Linked DNA regions of Tribolium castaneum. The protein of the gene in region 1 interacts with the protein of each later gene in a biochemical or structural test. Links are inferred from orthologs where the notes say so. Each region holds a gene or a part of one and is shown on either strand. Other genes may lie near its edges.

The links.
Region 2: the proteins of CSN5 (region 1) and Med form a complex in vitro, tested with the Homo sapiens proteins (2 studies listed by BioGRID). The link is inferred for Tribolium castaneum from reciprocal best matches to the Homo sapiens genes COPS5 and SMAD4.

What each region holds. Positions count from the first base shown.
Region 1 is NC_087395.1:23,651,470-23,661,658, forward strand, and holds CSN5 (COP9 signalosome complex subunit 5), read right to left. Parts: upstream 5,165-10,189; 5' UTR 4,844-5,164; exon of another isoform or gene 4,800-4,843; 5' UTR 4,779-4,799; coding exon 4,621-4,778; intron 4,572-4,620; coding exon 3,695-4,571; 3' UTR 3,639-3,694; downstream 1-3,638. Other genes in the region: S6k (ribosomal protein S6 kinase beta-2), read right to left, coding at 1-199, 1,393-1,483, 1,529-1,720, 1,769-2,158, 2,214-2,254, 2,439-2,522. UniProt on the Homo sapiens protein: Probable protease subunit of the COP9 signalosome complex (CSN), a complex involved in various cellular and developmental processes.
Region 2 is NC_087403.1:6,336,274-6,347,273, reverse strand, and holds the start of Med (mothers against decapentaplegic homolog 4), read left to right. Parts: upstream 1-4,368; 5' UTR 4,369-4,554; coding exon 4,555-4,606; intron 4,607-5,973; exon of another isoform or gene 5,974-6,156; coding exon of another isoform or gene 6,157-6,169; intron 6,170-6,252; exon of another isoform or gene 6,253-6,324; coding exon of another isoform or gene 6,325-6,343; coding exon 6,344-6,597; intron 6,598-6,660; coding exon 6,661-7,021; intron 7,022-7,140; coding exon 7,141-7,263; intron 7,264-9,110; coding exon 9,111-9,760; intron 9,761-9,805; coding exon 9,806-9,944; intron 9,945-10,191; coding exon 10,192-10,403; 3' UTR 10,404-11,000. Other genes in the region: AP-2alpha (AP-2 complex subunit alpha), read right to left, coding at 1-243, 296-449, 2,274-2,382, 2,431-2,856, 2,904-3,115, 3,165-3,228. UniProt on the Homo sapiens protein: In muscle physiology, plays a central role in the balance between atrophy and hypertrophy. When recruited by MSTN, promotes atrophy response via phosphorylated SMAD2/4.

The DNA.
Region 1 (10,189 bases):
CCCAATTGACGTTCTTGAAAAATGGATGATTTTTTATTGCCGAGGCGCCTTCGACAGTGCCCAGACGGGCGCTGACTTGACGTTTCAATAATTTGCGAATTAAATCTTTGGAGTCTTGGGTTAGGTACGGCGGAAGGAATAATTTACCTCGGAGAATCTTCTCTATTGTCTTTTTACGAGTATCACCTTGAAACGGTGGCTGAAATTCAGTGAGAGAAATTACACAACACTCTTATCTAAATAACATTACAACAAGGACGCAATTAATCATCGATAGATAACGATTTGTATCAAAACACAAAAATTTTAAACCACGAATTAATTGCGTTTGCATGTTTTCAACGCGGACAGTTGTTCCCCAAAGAATCGTAAGACCTATCCACGTTTTCCTTTAGTGACATTCGTTTAAAATGCAATGAATAATTATTTGTATAATTTTCGCCTAAAACAATCATGTACTCATACATAAACAAAAAAAACGGTCATTCAACCTTTACAAAATTTCATTTCTTATCATTTAGATTGCAAAGCACTAAAAAACAGTGCGATCTTTTCCAGAATAAAACATTTAAAAATTGCAACTATTAAAAATAAAATAATTAGCACTGGCAGTTTTTATTTTTTTTGTCCAAAACAAGTTTAAAATCGTGTGCTTCTTGATTAAAAACGCTAGAGCAGACTCTTTAATTCCACGTAAATACGGAACTCAGCTTTTATTAGAAATCATTTATTTTTTACGACCTCGATAATATTCATAAAACGTTTCATGGATCAATAAATTACTATTTTCATCACATTTACGAAGTGCGAAAATTACGGAATGAAAACGTCAAGTTCCAGTCTATTAAATTCGGATCAAAACTATTTTGTTCGTGTAATAATTGAACAATGATGCTAAAACGCTGACCATTATTTCGATAGAGCGCAAAAAATAATAATACTTGCCTCGCCTTGAGAGTAAATTAACACAAAACATTTTATTCGGAAAAAAATAAACGGTGAGACTCACTTTATTAAAAAATGACCTACTTACCTTTTAAAGTAGTGCATTAAAAATTGAAATTAAATTAAATTGTGCAAATTTTTATAAAAATATTTACGATTCGACACACTTCATTAATTAGTGTGGCGCGATATAATTTAGGAAAAGTCAAGGTCATTGCGACCTTATCTCTCGAGATTAAAACTAAGCCGTTCCATCAGCAAACAAATATGACATTGAAAAATCACCATTTAAATACTTTCAATCGTAAGATCCTCATTAAAATCGATTTCTTGTAACTATGTACTTAAGTCAATGGAACCCTAACTGATGGCATCTCACCACACAACAATAAAGAAATCAAATGACGTCAATGCTCAATTCAATAACCACCCGCATTCAATACTCACAGCTCCCGTCAACATGTCGTAGGCCAGAGCCCCAAACGACCACCAATCCACCTCTTTCCCGTGCCCACTCCTCGTCAAAATCTCAGGCGCCCTAAACCAATGATAAGTCGGATTTTTTGGCATTTTTAGCACTCACATGTATTCAATTGTTCCGCAAAAAGTATGCGTCAAAACACCATCCCTGATATGTTCCTTGCACAATCCGAAATCGGTCAATTTAACGTGACCTTTAGAATCTAACAGGACGTTTTCCGGCTTCAAATCCCGGTAAACGATCCCGAGAAAATGCAAATGTTCTATGGCGAGTAAAATCTCAGATAGGTAAAAACTGGAATTGAGAGAATTATTTGGGGGATTTTAAACAGTGGTTGGTTACATGGCTGTTTCTTCTAACAGGAGCCCCTCTTTCTCCAGCATGGTGAAGAGCTCGCCCCCTTGTAAAAATTCTAGTATTAAATAGAGTTTGCCGTTCGTTTGGTAGGCGTAAATTAATTCGACTATAAAAGGATGCTTGACAGCTTCTAAAATATTGCGTTCAGCCTTAGTGTGTGCAGTGTCTTTCTGGTTGCGTACAATGGAAGCCTTGTGTAGGATTTTCATCGCGTAAATGCTTTCCTTATCGCTTCCCGTCTCTTTGATCACTTGAAACACCTTGCCGTAGCCCCCTTTCCCCAAGACGCTGAGTATGCGGAAATCCTCGTTCCCGATCTTCTTCCCCTTGTTCACGCTCTGCTCGTCCACCTGTACCCGCTCGGTGTCGGCCGTGCTAAACGTTATCAATGAAAACAACCAACTTATCGCCCAAACTTATCAACACTTACTCAATCATGTCGGAAACATCTGGCTGCTCGTCGTATTGATCCTGCAAAGATTTCGCAACGATTTAAAACACAACTCGACAATGCGGCTCCAGGAGCCTCTCAATCTGCGTCAAACCGAGAGAAATTTCGCATTGCACAAGATGCAAATGCCACAAGGTGTGACACTGGACTCGGATTCTAGGACGGGAAATCGGATCGGGGGCTCGGTTCGGACAATTTGATCACCTCTGCGATGTCTATGGCATCGTCCTCGTCGTCGGAGCTCTGGGGCAGCCCGTCGTGTAACTCAATATCGAAGATTCCTGCCATGATTCCTCCTCAAACCACGCACTGATTCGCACTGAACATAACACCAAACGGGTGAGGCGAGCGCGCTTTGCACCAATTTGCACCCACAGTGCGGATTTTTCGCCGAAATGCGCCGAAATCCACCAAGACAACACCACAGTCAAACCACGGACCACTCAAGAATATTGGGTTATGTCGGATTCCAGGCGTGCCAATGCGATAAGGCGGAAAACCCAGCCAGACGCGGCTGTGATTGGCCGAGCGGGGGCGGGAGCTTCAAATTCGATGATTTATGACATGAGACGAAAGTTAAGCACTTTCCAAACATTTTCGGCACAAATGAAAGTGGCCCGGAACAACATAACTCCAACAAATCCGCCTGTTTTTAATTGGTTTAACACGTTCACTTGTCAACAGAATCGCATATGGAGATTAAAGGCAAATATTTGAGGAAAATATTTGCCCTGCACCACTTATCCTTGAAACTGGCTTAGAAAAACAAGAATTTGTTTGGTACTTCCGACGTGTCAACAAATCTTTATTTTTAAAGGATTGATTCTAGAATTTGTGTTTGACGCAATTATCGTTTGCATAATGTTTGCACTGGAATATAAATGCATCCGGTTGGGTTTTTGCTACGGAGGACTATGACTTAGGAGACGGAACGAGATGCAGAATCGTGGGATTTTCTGGACCCAAAAAGTGAAGCAAAAATGTGGGCACTTCGAGCGTTATACCGGCGCCAAGTCGTTTTAAATTAATTTAAATTCATTCAATTATTCACTAATTACTTGAAAAAAAAAATGCAGGAATGTTGAGTTTTGCACTCTGAACAGACTGAGAAAAGCTGATCGTATTCCCAGCGTTTTGAAAAATATGGGATAGAGTGCTAATTGGCAAAGATTGAAATTTTTTTAAATGTAGTTTACGGTATTTTTTTTTCATTATGTTTATGTCTTACTATTGAGAATTTAATGCTCCATTTGCCTGTATTTTTTTGCTGTGTTAACCGATATACGAATACAATTTTTTCAAATCCATTGCTTTGGAAGGGAACGTTTTATTTGTACGACGTTTCGTATCCTAACCTTTAGATATCCGTAGTTTTTTAGGACTAGGTAACCAATAACACACCAATTAGATTATAAATAAATATTTATTAAATCCAAACAAATCAGACAGATTAAAACGCGTTAATGGGTCGAATTATTCAAGGAAGTGCTGTTAAAAAGCCGGTCTTTGATCATTTGGGCCATCAGTCCGTGAATAATCTCAATCGTAGTCTTGCAACTGTCCTTTGTAGCTTTCAACAGTTTGTCTTCTGTTCGTTTTTCGTGCGGATCAGTGCCGCCTACGATGAACCCCCCGCGCCCAATGGCCGCTTCCGACTGTTCCAACTTCTCCGACAAATCAAAAATTTGCCCAGTTGTGTAATCAGCATTCGTTAACAAACTAGACGAGCTCAAAGTATTGACCCAATATTTGTTCCACAAGGAATCAAGCAATCGCCTATCAAGTGACGATTTAAAATACGACACTTCAAGCGAATAATATTGTTTGCAATGCACCCCAAAATCCTCGATTTTGTTCAGAGGAATGGTCTGGTACTCTGACGGTTCCTCATTTGCTGGTTTGTACCCTTTCGGGTACGTCCTGAACGCCCCTAGACACACCTTCCCCGCGGAAATGGTTCTCACAGGATCAATCACAATGGCAACGAACGGTTCCTGGAAATTCTGGTTGAGCATCTGGGTGCCAACGTCAATCCCAGACAACCAGCACCCGTATCCCGGGTGGCTGTGGTACCAGCCTATCGCGTTCTCCTGGCGGCCCACCAGCTTCGCAGCCTCGATGTACGAACTCATGTACTCGTAAGCCTGAGCTTGTGCGTTGACTCGGGTCTCTGTCCCTTCCACAGGCAGCGCAAACGAGTCCATCACAAACATTGTGTTTCCGTCGACTTTGCCCAAAATCAGGCCCATGACCTCCAGGGTGCCCCCCGAACGCGCGTGCATGACCATTTTCAAGAGGGCCAAGGCCGAGATTTTGATATCTTTGAAGAAGTGAGGGCTGGAAATTGAGATTAGGTAAAGTGAGGTTAGGGCCGACTTTTGCCTACTCTTTCTCCCAGGGCTTCGCGGCGAGGATGTCTTGCTGCTGCTTCTTGTCGTAGCGGTAAATATCGTCGACCGAGTTCACCAGTTCGACTTTATTGGCCATTTCCCAGGTTTTTTGTGCGATTTGTTCCTGGGTTTCGGAGGTCCCCGGCTTCGACATTGCGGCAAAAGGGGGCAAAAGCTAATCACAAATGGAGAGTTATTGCGAAAATGACGAGGATTTACCGTAATTCTGGGCTATTTTGGGCAAAAATTCGAAAAAATCGGACCTGTCAAAACACAGATGTCAAATTACAGCGCTACCAATCGTAAATATAAAAACTGGAAGGACACTTTTTTAATTTTTTTTTTTAGATATGGGACGATTTACGTATTAATTGCTGTAATAATGAGACAATGCATAATGGTAATGAAAAAAAATCGATAAATTGTTTGTGGCACAAACCGACAAGGAGTTTTGTCACAGAAAATAATTATTTTACGAGTGGCTTGGCATTTGGTGGCCCGTTATTGCCTTCATTGGGCTATTTTTACCGAATTGTGTTTTTCAAGGTGGGACAGGTGTTCGCAAAGTGTGTTAACAGTCCTGCAGATGTCGTCCCATTAGCGTTTTTCTTTTGTTTTTTTCCCATTTGCACGAAACGACTTTGTGTTGGTTTTTGCGAACGTAAAGCCCGGCCGTAATTCGGTGTAACGTTATGGGAGTATAATTGGAGTCTCATCGTTTAAAACCCATAAACAAGTCCAACCACACCCTGACAGTTTTATTAGGGTGGTTTTTTAGCAGTTGGCAATTCTAAAGCGTCTTAAATCAAACCGACCAATCAGCGGGCGGCATTCGGTGCATAATGGTGGGGCGCCCGCCATTTTGATTCGAGATTATGCGCGTTTTAGTTAAAGAAAAGTTTGTAATAAGTAGTGTGGTAACGTTGTGTTGTAGAATTTGTGCTCGTTTTAAATAGGATTTTAGGAGGATAAGGTGAGTTTTGGGCCAAGTGGTCAATTAAATAGCATATTTTTGGGTCCGGGGGGCGATTTCCGCTAACAAATGCCGGCGAAAATGTCGTAGTTTTCGCGATTTGGGACGTTAGAGTCGAGGGATGCGCGCCGGTTGTCGCAGAATTCAAAAATTGGGGCCATGCTTGAGGCTGGGGGCTGTTGCTAGGCCGCGTTCTTTGTTAGTGCACGTCCCCCGTAATTAGGGGCGAATTCGTGACTTGGGGTCCGAGGGTGAGTCAGGGTGTCGGTGTGGCACCCACATGTCTGTGCCGAAAATCCCCAACGGAACGACCATTGTGGTGCACTTGCATTGTTCGGTTATCGCTTATTTCAAACGCAATTTGTTTATTATCTGTCTTCTTGCAATGTAATACGCGCCTGTAAAAAATTCAAATCCAAGGCCACATACTCGCGTATTGAAACACGATGAATTCCTTTCCTCCCGTTCGAACTAAATTTAGACTAGGGGATTTTACCCCCGAATTAAAAATAACCAGGTTTTTTACGCGTAAACCGGGTTTTTAAACGAGTCCAGATACCACCTGCTGCGAATTTTAAAATAACCGCAAGGATTTCCAGCGAATGCAGCTTTGTTTCAATTTAGGTGAGTTTTTGGTGGGTTCAACGGTATTTCCAACTAGTTTCGTGATGTATAGGCTCTTTGTAGTGCGGATAATGTTCTAAGCTGTGACAGTTTCAAGATTAATTTTGACTCCCAACCGGTTATTCTCCAGTAAAAGTTTACGGCTCTAAATCGTGACAATTAAATTAATAATTGTTATGCTTACATTGTAATATTGCGTGAAGGACGCTTTTTAAATTATTGACAGAAACGTGAAAAGCAGTCCCGATCTATTCTCGTTATTACAGTGGGGTCCGGTTATAACGAAATACATCAAAATCAGTTCGCTATAAGCGTAAATTTTCAAATAAAGTGTTTTTTAGCAGTAATTTTTACCCTACATATGAAATAAGACGAAATAAATAAGTATATATAGCAAAAAATTTTTATATGCAGAGTTTTGGTTGGCGAATAAATTTGGGACCAACAAGTCAGTCAAAATTTTGACTTTTAGCTGCCAACTTTCTCATTAAAATTAAGCTACTTTCGTTTTTTTGTTTAGTTGAGACACCCTGTATGAGAAACTTGGCGAGAATTCGGGTTATGCAGTGATAAGCGCTTCTGAAATGTGACTCAATGTGAATCACACTTTTGTTTACTAATAGCTATCTAATTGCGAGCCACTTATCAGTGGAGTAAAACGTAGAAAATTCGTCTATCTAAAAATAAAGTCCGGTTGTTTCCGGTGCGCGCACAAATCCGGAAAATCATTACTTGAAATTTAATTTTCAACAAAGAACGTTTTTCTCGTTACATAATGATATTCTCCGTTTCGCGGTTGACTTCTTTAGCATTTTCACACACTTGTGGTCATTTGTAATGTTTTTTTCCTGTCGTTTTTTGCAAGTGTACCGGAACTCATCACCTGTAGACCATTATTAATCCGAGTGAAATTGCTTTAATATGTTTTAGAGTTGGTCTTTTATTTGTGATCGTTCCGCTGAGTACCGAAGGGTTTATTATTGATTTGTTGCGTTATTAAGGAACATGCAAGCATAATTGCAGGTGCAAGGCTGTAATAGGAAATTGTCCTGTTTTTCAAATTCGAGTTGTGTTTGCGTCGCGTCTCTGGAATGCGTTTGTGATAAACTTGGGGCACATTTCTAACCTTTGCCTGTTTTGTATCTATTTCGAGTTGTTACAATGAGCTGGTTTAGCACCGATTTGTGCGAGTCCATTGATGGGTTTTATCACTCGAGTACAATGTCTCCATTGAAAGAATGCTTAAAATAAAGTAGCCTCCTGCTTACAAATTATTCGAAAAATGTAACCTCGGAATATTGATGACGAGACACTTCCTTTACTTATCCGAACGAATTGGCTGCTTATCATAACATTGGAACGATATGCAGTCAGTTTACCATTTCCGGGACAATGGGAAACGCCCACGACTTGTTAAAACCGTGGTCTAACACCGTTTGGTTCCATTGGATGGGCTGGAGATTCGTGTTGGACTATTGGCAAACGGTGGATTTGTTTTGTTGTAATTCAATTCCGACTGTTTTAATGTCATGCTCAAGTAAATGTCAGTCGAGAGCTATTATCGTGCTTGAATTGCAAATAAGTTTATCTCTTCTAAATGAAGAACATTTATTGATAATCGTGGAACAAAACCGGTCTAATAAAGGGTCATTTTCATATTTTTACTGATAAGGCTTTGAAAAACGCAACAGGTCAAGAGCACGGGTGGGAGCCGGCCATAAAGGCACACAAAACACATTGTTTGTTATCAATTGCATTCTTTCGTCGATAACAGCGCGCTGTGTGTATTTTTTTGGCACGATGCCTCAACTTATTGGCTTAAATTGGCCTCGAAGTTAATGGTCGTCGACTCCGCGATCTTTGTTAACTTTCATCTCAACAACACATATGTTGTGCATCTGATGGCGCTTTTAGCTACGTCACCCGTACATTGTTTTCCGTGAATTTCGGTGAAGAATTACAATGTTCTACTTGCTTTGGATTAGGAGAAAAAAAGGTAAAGTCAGCGTGCAGCTGGTTGAGGTCATTCGTGATCTCGGCGTACCTGAGAGTTTTTTGATTGGGTTTTTGAGGAGGGAAAAAATTGAGGCTCGGTTAGGCTCGTTATTCCGGTGTAATTGCCGTGATTCTTTTTTTATTTATGTAAGAAATTGATGGTTTGCCTGATGATGAAAAATGTGGTGATTCACGGTTTGTTTTGGCCTAGTTTAAAAAATGCCAGAGTGGTTTTATGGTAATGGTGGAAGCAGTGTTTTAAGGTCAAACTGAGGTTTTTAAAACGGAACGTAATGCAAAAGCAAGACAAAGAAAGTTGGACGCTGCTGCTGTGGCTATTATGATTTTGGCGAAATACAGTGGATCCTCTATTATCCTACCCAGTCTTGGGCAAAGCCAAGTCGGATAAATTACAATTCAGTCTTTATTTATTTGGTACGATGAAAGTTTTTTTATTGTATTAAACGTTCTAAATACCTCGAAATAGACCAAAATACTGCATTTTTTATTAATTGTGCAAGATTCTATCCTGGTTTAAAAAGTAGTCTGACCTTTCTCTGTGGAAATTTTCTTAAATCCTTAGAAAACAGAGCGTTTTTCAGATTTCAAAAATGATATAAATGTATTAAAACAGGCGAAATTAACGCCTTCCAAATTTAACTTTGCAATTTTCTATATTTCTTTGAGAGAACAACAATATTCCGAATTTTGTGACATTCTCAAAATGATTTATGGAAGATGATACATTTTATAAAAAAAAATTGGAGTTGTTTGAGAAAAATATTCAAATTCAATGAAATATTTTTTTTCTTTCTGTGTCAAAATATTCACACAAACTCGAAATCATCGGTGGCCTTAAACGCTTACGAATGGTAAAATTAGAATTAGAACAAAAAAATGCGAAGTCTATTAAACGACTAGAAACGGATAATCGAGGTTCTACTGTAGTAACGAATTTTCTTCTGAGTTGAAAATTTTTTTTTTTAAAGATTTTGACGTAAGTCTTTGGGTTAGCAGATAATGGGTTAAAATGTGTAGCAAAACCTAGCAATGTATGAATTTTTTGCTCAGTTGCAAGTTGGTGTTGGTATTTTTTTGGAAATTAAAAAAAAAATTCCCAGAATTACTGTTATTCCATTTACTACGCCTTACCTTATCAGGTCTGAATATTTAGATGTTGTGAATAAATCAATATTAGAATTTTGAATTCTGTTTAAATAGTATTTGTTGACGGTGCTGTGTCTATTTGGTTTTTATCACTTTTAAACATTTCCGTCTGTCCCTATGACATTTTCTCCCAACGGAAATGCATTCGAAGCACGTGAAATGGCGTTTCGTTTGTTCGACGTTAAAACCCACAACCGCATTGTTATCAAAATTCAATTGATTGTTTCATTGCATTTTTCGGAGCAATTCGGCCAAAGTCTGAAGAATGCAAGCGCCGAATACGTGACATCATTAGGGTCATTAGCGATTCCTTGCGTCGAAAAACCACCGGAAACATTTGTAACAATAGTTGGAGGGTGTCCAAATGTGACACGAGTTTTTTCCTCCCAACAGTTTTTGATTAATTTCGTGTATTTAAGTTTGTTGACACTGTATGTTTATTTGTGTTACATGCATCGTATCACATCTTTGACTTTTATATCCGGAGATGGGCGCGGTTTTCCAAAATAACCCAGAGATAAAATTCGGAGTGTCATCGAAACGAACTTTTCCAACTTATCATCACACATGTACCATAAATCTTGCCGTCATAAATAATTCAATAATCCGCGTACGTCGCGACTAAACGACAACCTTTATGCAAATTGGCATTCCTTCGGCCTAAAACGGACGAAAAATTATGCGCTGGTATTCGGTACCATGAAGTTTTCCGGACGATAAAATAATCTTGTCAGTGGGTTAGTGACGAGCAGTTGACTCAACTTGATAATTTTCACGGAATTGTAATTAGTCAGTTTGTTGAAAGA
Region 2 (11,000 bases), on another chromosome or scaffold:
TCAGCATTGCTCTTATCACACATAGCGTACAACAAATCAACGGCTTGTTGCCTCACTGAAACATCTTTTTCCATCTTCATCGACAAGATAACAACTTCCTGATGTTTCTTAACAGCCTCGTGGGAAAATTCAGACGTTGCTAAATGACACATCGACTCCAAAGCCAAATAACGTAAATTTGTTTCTCTATTACTCAAAAATTGGCCCAACTGGTTACAAGCACGCACCAACAAATTCGCTTCGCTGTATACATAACAAAATGAGACTTTTCAAATTTCAAAATAAATAAATATACCTGTCATTGTGAATAATTAAACTAATGGCCTCGAACAGTACGGCATTTTTAGCATTTGAGTGTTGCACTTTCTTCGATTTTGGAGGCTCCTGCGCTTTATTCAATATCGTTTCTAGGCATTCGTTCAAGCGGCCGCGCACCCCCGGGTCTTCAGCTAAGAATTCATAAAACTTTGGAGCAAGTGTAACAAAAAAAAGTGAAAAAATGAATCAAGTTTCAACCACGGTCCCTTAACAATTGTTAAGAAGAAAATTATGACAAACGCCAAACCATATACATTTAGTTTTAGCAGTGTTTTTATTTTATTTCTTCCCTTTAAGTACTGAATTTTTTTTACATAAAAATTGTTGACTTAGACGTTTTTCTTTTCAAAATTGCAATTAAAGTCATCTAATCCATTAAATTGTCTATAAATCTAAAAAAAAACAGATATTCCGTCGAAAATTAAGTTTAAGATTTGTGAAGCGTCCTTCTTAACTAAACGATTCCAAAAACTATTATATCATACCTCATTTTACAAAATCGGTTGGCTAGAGTAAGTGTTTCTTAATGGGTGGTTCGCCAAAAAAAAGTAGTGTAATGGCGAAATTTTAAAACGCTAACGTAAAAAATTACAAAATATCATCGTCAACGTGGGCTACAAATTGTTTGTGTACTGTTTTAGTCCCGATTTTTTTTTTTAATTAGTTACGTTTTCAATCTGAAGATTCATCAAAATTTGCATTATTATCGAACACCTGAAGACGATATCACCGTTGTGTGTTTATAAAAACAGAACCCAATGTTTAATAATAGGAACAGGCATAGAACTGTACAATATTATGGGCAAAAATAAGTTTTTCGTACGCTTCTACTGAAAAAAGTTAAAGTCAAAGTCAAACAATAAATAGATATTATGAAGATTGGCTATCAATTTTCAACAATTTTTTCGAACTGTTAAGGGCTTCAAATTGATGCAAGTTCTAAATTATTTTCCAGCCTTACTTCAAAAATAAAATAGGCACTTTTTTCTACTCCTTCATAAAGTGCAATGCAATCAGTCACCTTCATTTAATTTAATTACTTTCTATTTCACATGATTATTTTCCATCTTCGTTACTTTCTTGTTAAAAATTGGAAATTGCAGTGTTTAGTAAGCCCTTTTTGTCTCCACATTTACATCAAAAGCTGTTATGGATACCAAATTAGTCTATGTTGTTGTGCTTTCGTTTCTAGATTTTCAAATAGGATTTTTTTACAAACACTTAATGGCATTTTGTCAAAATAAATCAACACTGAAACTGACTTCCTTTACTAAAATTACTACAAATAATTTGGCTATGGTGACAACGTTAAACTATTTAACACGCCTGATTAAAAAACATCCCCTACATAATATTTACTAATAAAAATACTAAATTCTTAGTTGTTTTTTTTTAATTTATTCATGCAACATTAATATTTAAAATATGCAATAAGACAAACAAATAAAATAAAGAAATATATTATATATTCTATAAATTTATAAAGGGTTCGCAAGGTGAAAAGGTGGGAACTTAAAAACTAGCAACAAATTATTCTAGACTTTTGAATAAGTTAATAATTTCTGAAATTTATTAAGTTGTAACATAAATCCAATTTCCAAAAGTTACTCTTGATTTTTTTGTTTTGAAGAAAGTAGAAAAAGTTATTTCCCCCCTTTACACACGTTTCAGTTCGGGTTCAAATAACTTTGAACAGTGTCTTTGATGTAAAAATGTTTCATTTAACTCATTTGCATTTGAAAAAATCACATAGAATTTTTTCGAGTGTTTGGTCTGCGGCTAAAACTTGATATACGTAGTACTATAATCCGGCGTCAATTGTGACCTAATTTAGTTTGGCAGGTTATCAAACGAAATCAACTGCGATTTTGCATGACCTTTCAACTTGTTATTTGAGTAAAATTATCATGCAATTTAAATTTGAGTGATTGATTTTTTTCCTATGTCGCACCTACCTGGCGGGGTATAATTTTGCAAGAGACGTAGCAGTTTGACGGAGAGCCAGGGCGCTGGTACGAAATAATATGTGTAGTCTTGTAAATCGGTGTAACTTGCCGTCACGATCTGTATTTTTTTGTAAAATATTTGCAGTTATCTCAATAAACAACTTACTCTACTTAGGCGCGAAACGGCGAGGGAAACGCAGCCTTTGTACTCCTCAGGGTTCTTCTTAACTAATGCGTCTATGAGACTTGTCGCGGCTGTCACAACCCCCATGTGTTGGTCATTGAGGAGGTGTATGATGCGTGAAGTCCACTCCCCTCCGGGGATGATTTCCTGCGACGTTCTGAACAAACGCAGAAGACAGAGAGCTGCACTTTGCTTAACTACATCCATGGTGTCGCCCGAGACGAGAAGTTTTGGTATTTCGTTACCAAAGGCTTCGGCCATTTCCCTGCTGCCGATGTTGGCAATACATTGCAATGCCAAGTTCACGTGAATTGGGTTTCTCGAAGCCAAGTCATTTTTAATACTTTGAATTATGAGTTTGATCAGCTCACTATTAGTGTTGACTAGCACTGAAATAAATAAATATCCCTACAAAAAATACAGTCAAATGCAGAAGCGTCCTCCGATCGACTCACTATTTGCTTTTCGGAGTATTTGTTGGATGATAGGAGATTTACAGCTTCCATATGCCCGAAGTCAATGTCATGCCCGAGTAAGAATATGAAGAGCAGCTTGCACACGTACTTCTTCTTCTGGTACCCATCCAGAGTCTTGTCCCCCTTGAACTTGCTCCGTATATTCGCGAGCTCCTTGTTAATGCGCTTGATCTCGGCTTCTTTGCTTTTACCTGGCAACAGAGTTTGAGTCACGGGCACCGGAACGGGCAAAATTCTTACAATTTCTTATATCGGAAATAAATACGGCCAAGCCACGCATGCCATCTCCTCGCACTGCCGGCATGTTGGCTGAAATCGCTTCGTTCCTCCAAAATCCTCCTCTGAAAAACGACCCCGGTCAGAAACAACCCACTTCACCCCTATTAAAAATCAAAAAACTGCGAAAGGTCACCAGTGACCCTCCCCCTATACTATTGCGGTTTTTGACAGATATCGGCTACATGTACGGGAAAAGAAACGACTCACTCACAACTTTTCTTTAAATATCCGATTTCCACAATTATTTATCTACACAAACAAGCGATAAATACGGTCAATTGTCAACAAAATATCTTTTTACACACCAATCTTTGCCACTCCACATATACATGGGCAAATTGACAGGACGAGTTTGCGGCTAGAGGACGCCCCGAACGCTGCCTATCAAAATTATCCAAAAAGGAAATCACCAAGACAAGTTTAATCAATTTTTGCGCAAATTGATATCACTTGCGTTTTTCTATCCATTTAACAATTTTCGACTCAGGCGGTAGTTTTATGAAACAATAAATAGTAAAAATTAAAAAAATTTAATGCGTGGTGTATCGCTGTAATTGATTTAAAAACACATCAATTAGCAAGAACAATAGATTATATGCAGCGTGGGCCAAAATACGATATTTGTTTGCCACAACTGCGCCAATAATAATCAAAAAATAGGCGTTTTTTTGTATCGTATCAACTTAATTGTGTGTATTTTTGGTTGCATAACACTCAAAAGAATGCAATTTTTAATTATTCATTTATCATTTATCAACTAATCTTTCAATAACAATTCTGCGTATTAAGCCAGTGCTAAAAACCAAATTAAAAACTCGTAATTTTTATCTCTGGGGAACGTAATACGCACGATATGAAACAGGATGCAATGCAGCAGCCTATCAAATACCGTTGCATTATGCTTGACCGGAGAGCAAAAAAGGAGAATCATTAATTACAACTGTAATAGTTTCAATGACCCATAGTTGTGCAACCGAAACTATTGTTACAATAAATTAAAAAACATTCTTAATACATTTTGGCCCCTTTTTTGATTCATTTCAGGGTCAATCAATAGTATTAAAATTGCATTTTTTCTCGTTTCCTATGATTTGCTTGGTATTTGTAGTCCGGTTCGCAATTTTGCGTATGCGCATTTAGGTTTCTCTTGCATGTGGTATTAGAGTTGCCGTTTTAGCACTTAGCATCAGTTGTCTCATTCTGTTGCAGACGAGAAAAGAAATAAGAAACTGAGCTAGTGACGTAATGAGTAATGTAATAATAATGTAAACTGAAAGCAAGTGTTAAACGCGGGCCAAAAATTAAGCGCCAGTTTGTTGAAGTTAGTTTTTGCGGAAGCAAGTGTTAAATAATGGTGGGGCTTTCCACGGGACACATATTCTCCACAAGTTCGTCGAAAGAAGGTATTTTGATTTAGTGCACTTGAAAACATATATTTTTTATCACCAAAAGTATTTTTTTTTCATAGCGGACCAGCCATAATTTTGGAGAAAATATGCTTTTACAACATAAGTTAAAACTGTCAATAACATATTTTACCTAATACCAAATAAGCAGTAGAAAAACAATAGAAATATAATCATTAATTAAATAATGTAAAAAAAATTGTTCCCGCTTGCAATTAGATATGTCCCGCCCTCTGTAATTCAGGGGTATTACTAAATGTGGGATACTGTGCAATTTTATTATGTATTATTGATTTTTATTAATTTTATTAAATTATAACAATTAAGACAAGTCGGAAATGTATTAAATTAACGCAAAATACGTTCAACGAGTGCACGTCTGTTTTTTTTGAAAAAAAATTCCCACTTATTTGGCTAAAAAAACCAAAAATGGTATTCTCAAGAGAGACGCCAAATTTAAGTGTTAAAAAAATAAATACTTTAACCGATATTATATTATTTGTATGTGTTATGCCAAATATGAAAGCAAAATAAACACCAAAGCGTTACCACTGAAGATATTATTGCATGACCATTTAATTACAGGTTTCTGTAAATCCATATTGAATGTAAACAATATAATATACGTTAAACGGATGTTTTCGCTTATCTTCTGTTCAGTTTTTAGAGCACGCGCGAGGGAGTACTTAAAAGTATGCCTCGTTCTTTGTGTAAATAAAGAGAAAAGTGTTGCGCTGTTATCATGTTATCAATGATGAAAACCAGGGGTGGATCCAAAAATATTTTTTTTTGGGGGGAGGGGGGTGGTGCTAAGCTAAACTTCAGCTGTCGGTATGTTAAAATATTTAAATTAATTTTTACAAAGTTTAAGCCGAAATATTTTTTTATTTATTTTTATTTATGTATTATTTATTTATTTATTTTAGTTAATAAATAAAATACTGTACTCCAGCTCTATAGCTTAGTTATTAGTAAAGGTAAACTACGACGCATTTCAAGAAAAAATTTTTAATTAATTCCTAAAGAATATGACGTAATTTATTATTATTATTATTATTATTATTATTATTATTATTATTATTATTATTATTAATTTATTAATAAATGTTTATCAAAAAGGTTTCTAATGTTATTATTTAAAAAGCATTTTTTATCAAGTTTTTATATTATTTAAAAAAAATAAAATTGAAGTGTGGGAGACATTTTATTAATTGTAAAAAATGTAACTATATTTCAACAATTTTTACATTTTTTATTTGTTGTTTAGCTGAAATTAGTGGAATTTATGTTTTTTTCAATCCAAATTTGAGGTGGTTGGTTATGCAACTCGCGCTATTGACTCGCAGTGAAATGTTCCGACGAACACGTTTTCTGTCAAACCATTTGACATTAGTTCTCGTCCACTTCTGTCGGACGTCAATGGTTTTCTTCAGCGGCGGTTTTCAACAACAAATTAAGATCTATGCAATTATTTTTTACAAAAGTTAGATTTCTTCCACTTATTTGTATCGAAAAGTCTACTCTGCACGAACATTTCCGGGGTTTTTATGCGTCCCCAAGGTAGGCTTCTAGTGTCAACCATAATCATCTATTTTTGTTTTTGTTATTGTTTATTTACAAAATCGGTAACAGCACGCTTTCAGCAATCACTGTCTTATCACTTGCATCGTTTCGTCCACTTCCCGAGATGCGAGACTGTTGACAATTTTGTATTTATGGTGGTCATTTTTGTAGTTGGAGATATGTCAGGGTTAGCCACAACAGCACCCTCATCGGCTGACGCTTGCCTGAGCATTGTGCACAGTCTCATGTGCCACAGACAAGGGGGAGAAAGCGAAGGCTTCGCCAAACGTGCTATAGAGTCCCTGGTGAAAAAGCTAAAAGAGAAAAGGGATGAACTAGACTCGCTTATCACTGCTATAACCACCAGTGGGGCACATCCGAGCAAGTGCGTCACGATCCAGAGGACTCTCGACGGCCGCCTGCAGGTACACACAAGCTTTCCTTGCAATTCTCTCAAGCGTTGTTGCTACAGTTTCTGTGTTGTTTAGGTTGCCGGACGCAAGGGCTTTCCGCACGTTATCTACGCTCGAATCTGGCGATGGCCCGACCTCCACAAAAACGAACTCAAACACGTGAAATATTGTCAGTTTGCGTTTGATTTAAAATGTGACTCAGTATGTGTGAATCCGTACCATTACGAACGGGTAGTGTCCCCCGGCATTGACCTCTCTGGACTTACGTTGCAATCTGGAACCGCTCGATTAGTGAAAGATGAGTACACCGCTGGACCGGTCCCTGGAGGCAGTATGGACGTAGACAGCGAAATCGGCATTGAAGTCTCCCAGACCATCCAACACCAGCCCCCACAGCAGAATTTCGCCCTGAGCGGACTTCAGGCACCTTCCACAAGTAAGCTGCGTGTTCTCACTCACTAGTCTATTGTATTCTCTGATTCGAAGACTTTTTATTTTAAGAACCCACTTTTCGTATTTTTAGTTATGCATGTTATGTTTTCGTTGTTGTGGTAGGTGAACAGGGAATGTATAATTCACCAAACAGACCAGTTATGGGACATCCCGTACCTAAAATTGAAGGGGGAGTTGACGCATGTTCCAGATCTAGTTGGTTACCGCACATGCATATACCTCATCGTAAGATTCTTTTTGTTTTATTTTGCATTTTCTCAAAGCACTGTTGTGTTACTCGTATTGTAGGTTTAGTCTAGTTCGTACAAAAAAACGCCCGTCTCAGTGTTACTACTATTGCATCGTTTTAAATATTTTTCTTACACCTTAACTTCAAATTTCCACTTAGTAAATGCTTTTCCGGTGACTTCATTTTATCGATTGTACTCAATGTTAGTGTTCAGTTAATTGCTACGTGAAGATAAAGTAGTGAGTTCTTCCAACAAACACACAAGATTTGGTGTTTATACCGGGTGTTCCAGCAACTTGGTAAAGATGATTTAAAATTACCGAATAATTGTTTTGTTTTCAAAATGCCAACACTAAATTATTTCAAAATGTACCTTCAGTTTAACTTTATAAGTTAAGTAGAAACGAAAATCGTGAACAAAATAAATAATTTGATCCCTCATTATATTATGAATTATTAAATTATAAAATACAGCAAGCGTTCTTTTATTAAAAACGATAGAAGTGTACATAATTTATTATTTGTCGACGTTTTTAAATCCCGAACGACTGTTAATATTCTAAACTCAAAAAAACTTTTAAAGGTAATAGATCACCTGGAATTATTATCAGTTAGCGGGGTGTTCGACAATTTTCGAAACATTATCTCACTTGGGCTAGATTACAAATTTAAATATAAAAAATATTTGATTTCATTTTTGACGTTTAGTTTTTATTATTGGTGATGTTGAGCTAAACTTTTATTGATCGATTTTTCTTAGTTCTGTTACAAAAACGGAGTTTTCCAAAAAAATACTACAAAAATAATATTTTCACTTGGAGTAAACTAGCGAGTTGGTTTTTAGTACTTATTATTCTTTTCTGAGAACAACCAGTAATGTACTCTGGGCAGGGTCCACACTCAGTCTGTAGCTGTACCTGTGTTCACACTTCGGTTACAAAGGTCGTAAATTGTAAAAGATCGCGTGGCTAATATTTTAATCTCTTAAATTTGTGAAAGTTTTCTTTGAAAGAAGTCAATAATCTTATTGTTCCCTGAACTGTGCCTGATAGGTACTTAGAAATTAGAAACCAGGATTCAGGTATAAGGAAGTTCCATTTTATCAGTGTCTGGAAACAACAGAATACAATGTAGGTCTAATTTCATAGCTTAAGATGTTTCGTTACAACAGTCAGAAAATTTACAAATTGATACCAAATATACAGTACACATCAAAAGTCTGGAATAAAATTAAAATTTTTTTGGAGGACCATTTTGTAACCTATTATTTTATAAATATAAAAATTGTATAAAATAAATAAACTGTTTCATAATACATTATTTTGTCTGATTACTGTTGATATTTCTCTAAAATTTTTATACACGGTAGTGAAGTTACATTAAAAACTGAAAAAAAAAACAATTGCTGCATCGATACTTCTATTTATATGGAGTTGATGAAATCAAACAAATTTATTTTCTGATAAAACTAAAATTTTGAAAACAATTATTTTTCGGATTTAAGAGATTTATTAGATATGTACGCACATTCACAATCACTTACGGGGAAAAAAAATATAGATTGATTTTATGTAATATTTTGTTTCTTAACAAATATTTATTTTGGTGACAATGCTTTCATTTTCGTGACAGCTTATAATTATTTACTACAAGACACAAAAATTAGAATTAAATGAACAGGAAAGTTTCGGCGACGCTTTGAACGAAAAAAAAAAATTCTTTAAAGGTAGTAATAATATTTATTGTGTGAGTGAGTTTGAAGTAGTATTTTTTAGAGACGCGTGTTTTATTTAAATTTTGTGCAAATTACTGTTATTCATCTTCTAATTGTAACCGATATTAGGTGGGAGTAACCCTCCCGTGTCGCCCCATTTGCAACAAAACGGGTTCAACAACTCCACCCATACGACAACTGCTGTTGTTAACAACAACGGTGGTACCATAAGCGGCAGCCAACCCGCGGCTACGGCTACCATGGGCCAATCGTTCACTGGGGCTGGTGGTACTTGGACAGGATCTAATACGTTAACCTACACCCAATCAATGCAGCCCCCTGATAACCGCACCCATCACACAGCTTACTGGAACACAAACCAATGCAACGACGTAAACATCGCTGGTCTGTTGTCCACCCAGCCAGCCCCCGAGTACTGGTGTTCCGTCGCCTACTTCGAGCTGGACACTCAAGTGGGTGAAACGTTCAAAGTACCCTCAAGCTGCCCGAATGTGACAATTGACGGCTACGTCGACCCCTCTGGAGGCAACCGGTTTTGCCTTGGTGCGTTGAGTAATGTGCACAGGACGGACCAAAGCGAGAGAGCGAGACTGCACATTGGCAAGGGGGTTCAGTTAGATTTAAGGGGCGAAGGCGACGTTTGGTTGCGCTGCTTAAGTGACCATTCCGTTTTCGTCCAGAGTTATTATCTGGATAGGGAGGCTGGACGACAACCCGGCGATGCCGTACACAAAATTTACCCGTCAGCCTACATAAAGGTATTGTTTCACGTCGGAAAATCGGGGTTTTAATTGCCGTTGCAGGTCTTTGATCTAAGGCAGTGTCACAACCAGATGACAACTCAGGCAGCCACAGCACAGGCAGCGGCGGCGGCACAGGCGGCGGCGGTGGCGGGGCACATCCCTGGACCGCACTCAGTCGGCGGGATAGCGCCAGCCATAAGTAATTATTTATTTCATTTTTTTACAATACTTATTTTTATGTAAAATTTTCTACTGAACTCACATTCATTGGTCTTTTGTTGTCTGCCTGTCTGTTTCATATTTTCCGGGACAAATTTGAAACGGTTTCTGTTGTCCAAATGAATTGAAATTTTGCATACTTACGTAATCTGCATGACAATGCAATCGAATGTAGTTAATCACCCCCTGAGAGGGTTAAAGAGGTTAAAAGGGATGTTATCTTTTAGGTTTGTCGGCAGCCACGGGAATAGGGGTTGACGATTTGCGAAGACTGTGCATCCTGCGCCTCAGTTTTGTGAAAGGTTGGGGCCCGGATTATCCTCGACAGTCCATTAAAGAAACGCCTTGTTGGGTTGAAATCCACCTGCACCGCGCTCTGCAACTGCTGGACGAAGTGCTTCATACTATGCCGATTGATGGACCCCGTGGGATAGAGTAATTGTGTGAATATTTTGATCCCCTTTTGGTAGTTCGGTGGGCAAACAACGATTGTTGTCAATTCCGAATTTTATGTTTGGCACGATTTGACGGCGGCAAGTTTGACAAAATATTTTGTAAGTGAGTAGTTTATAAGTTTGTAAATTACGCTTATATAATACTTAATTTAATAAGTTTGTAGTGATAATCACTTATTTTCTACATGAATATATATTTTGTAAATATATTGCAAACAATTGCCTTACAGTCGGACAGAACTTTTCATATATTTTCATAAAATTACCTTTTTTCAATTGGTTTGTGCCATTTTATTTTGTAGAAGATGGATGCCAAATTTGAAGTAGTAATCGCACACGAAATGATAAGGGTAAATATGTACATTAGGCTGTGAAAAACTGAGTAGTGTGTAAGTTTTTTTCGTTTTTGTTGCTTGATATTAGTGTGGTACTGAATGTCTTATTTAAGGAACCTCTTTTTGTATTTTTCTTGTCACAAGTACCTAACAAACTGCAATTTTTTCATTTGCTGTGTAAATGTAGATAGGTATAATATAGATATTGTCTGACACAATGTATGCTACTTTTTTGAGAATTACGCC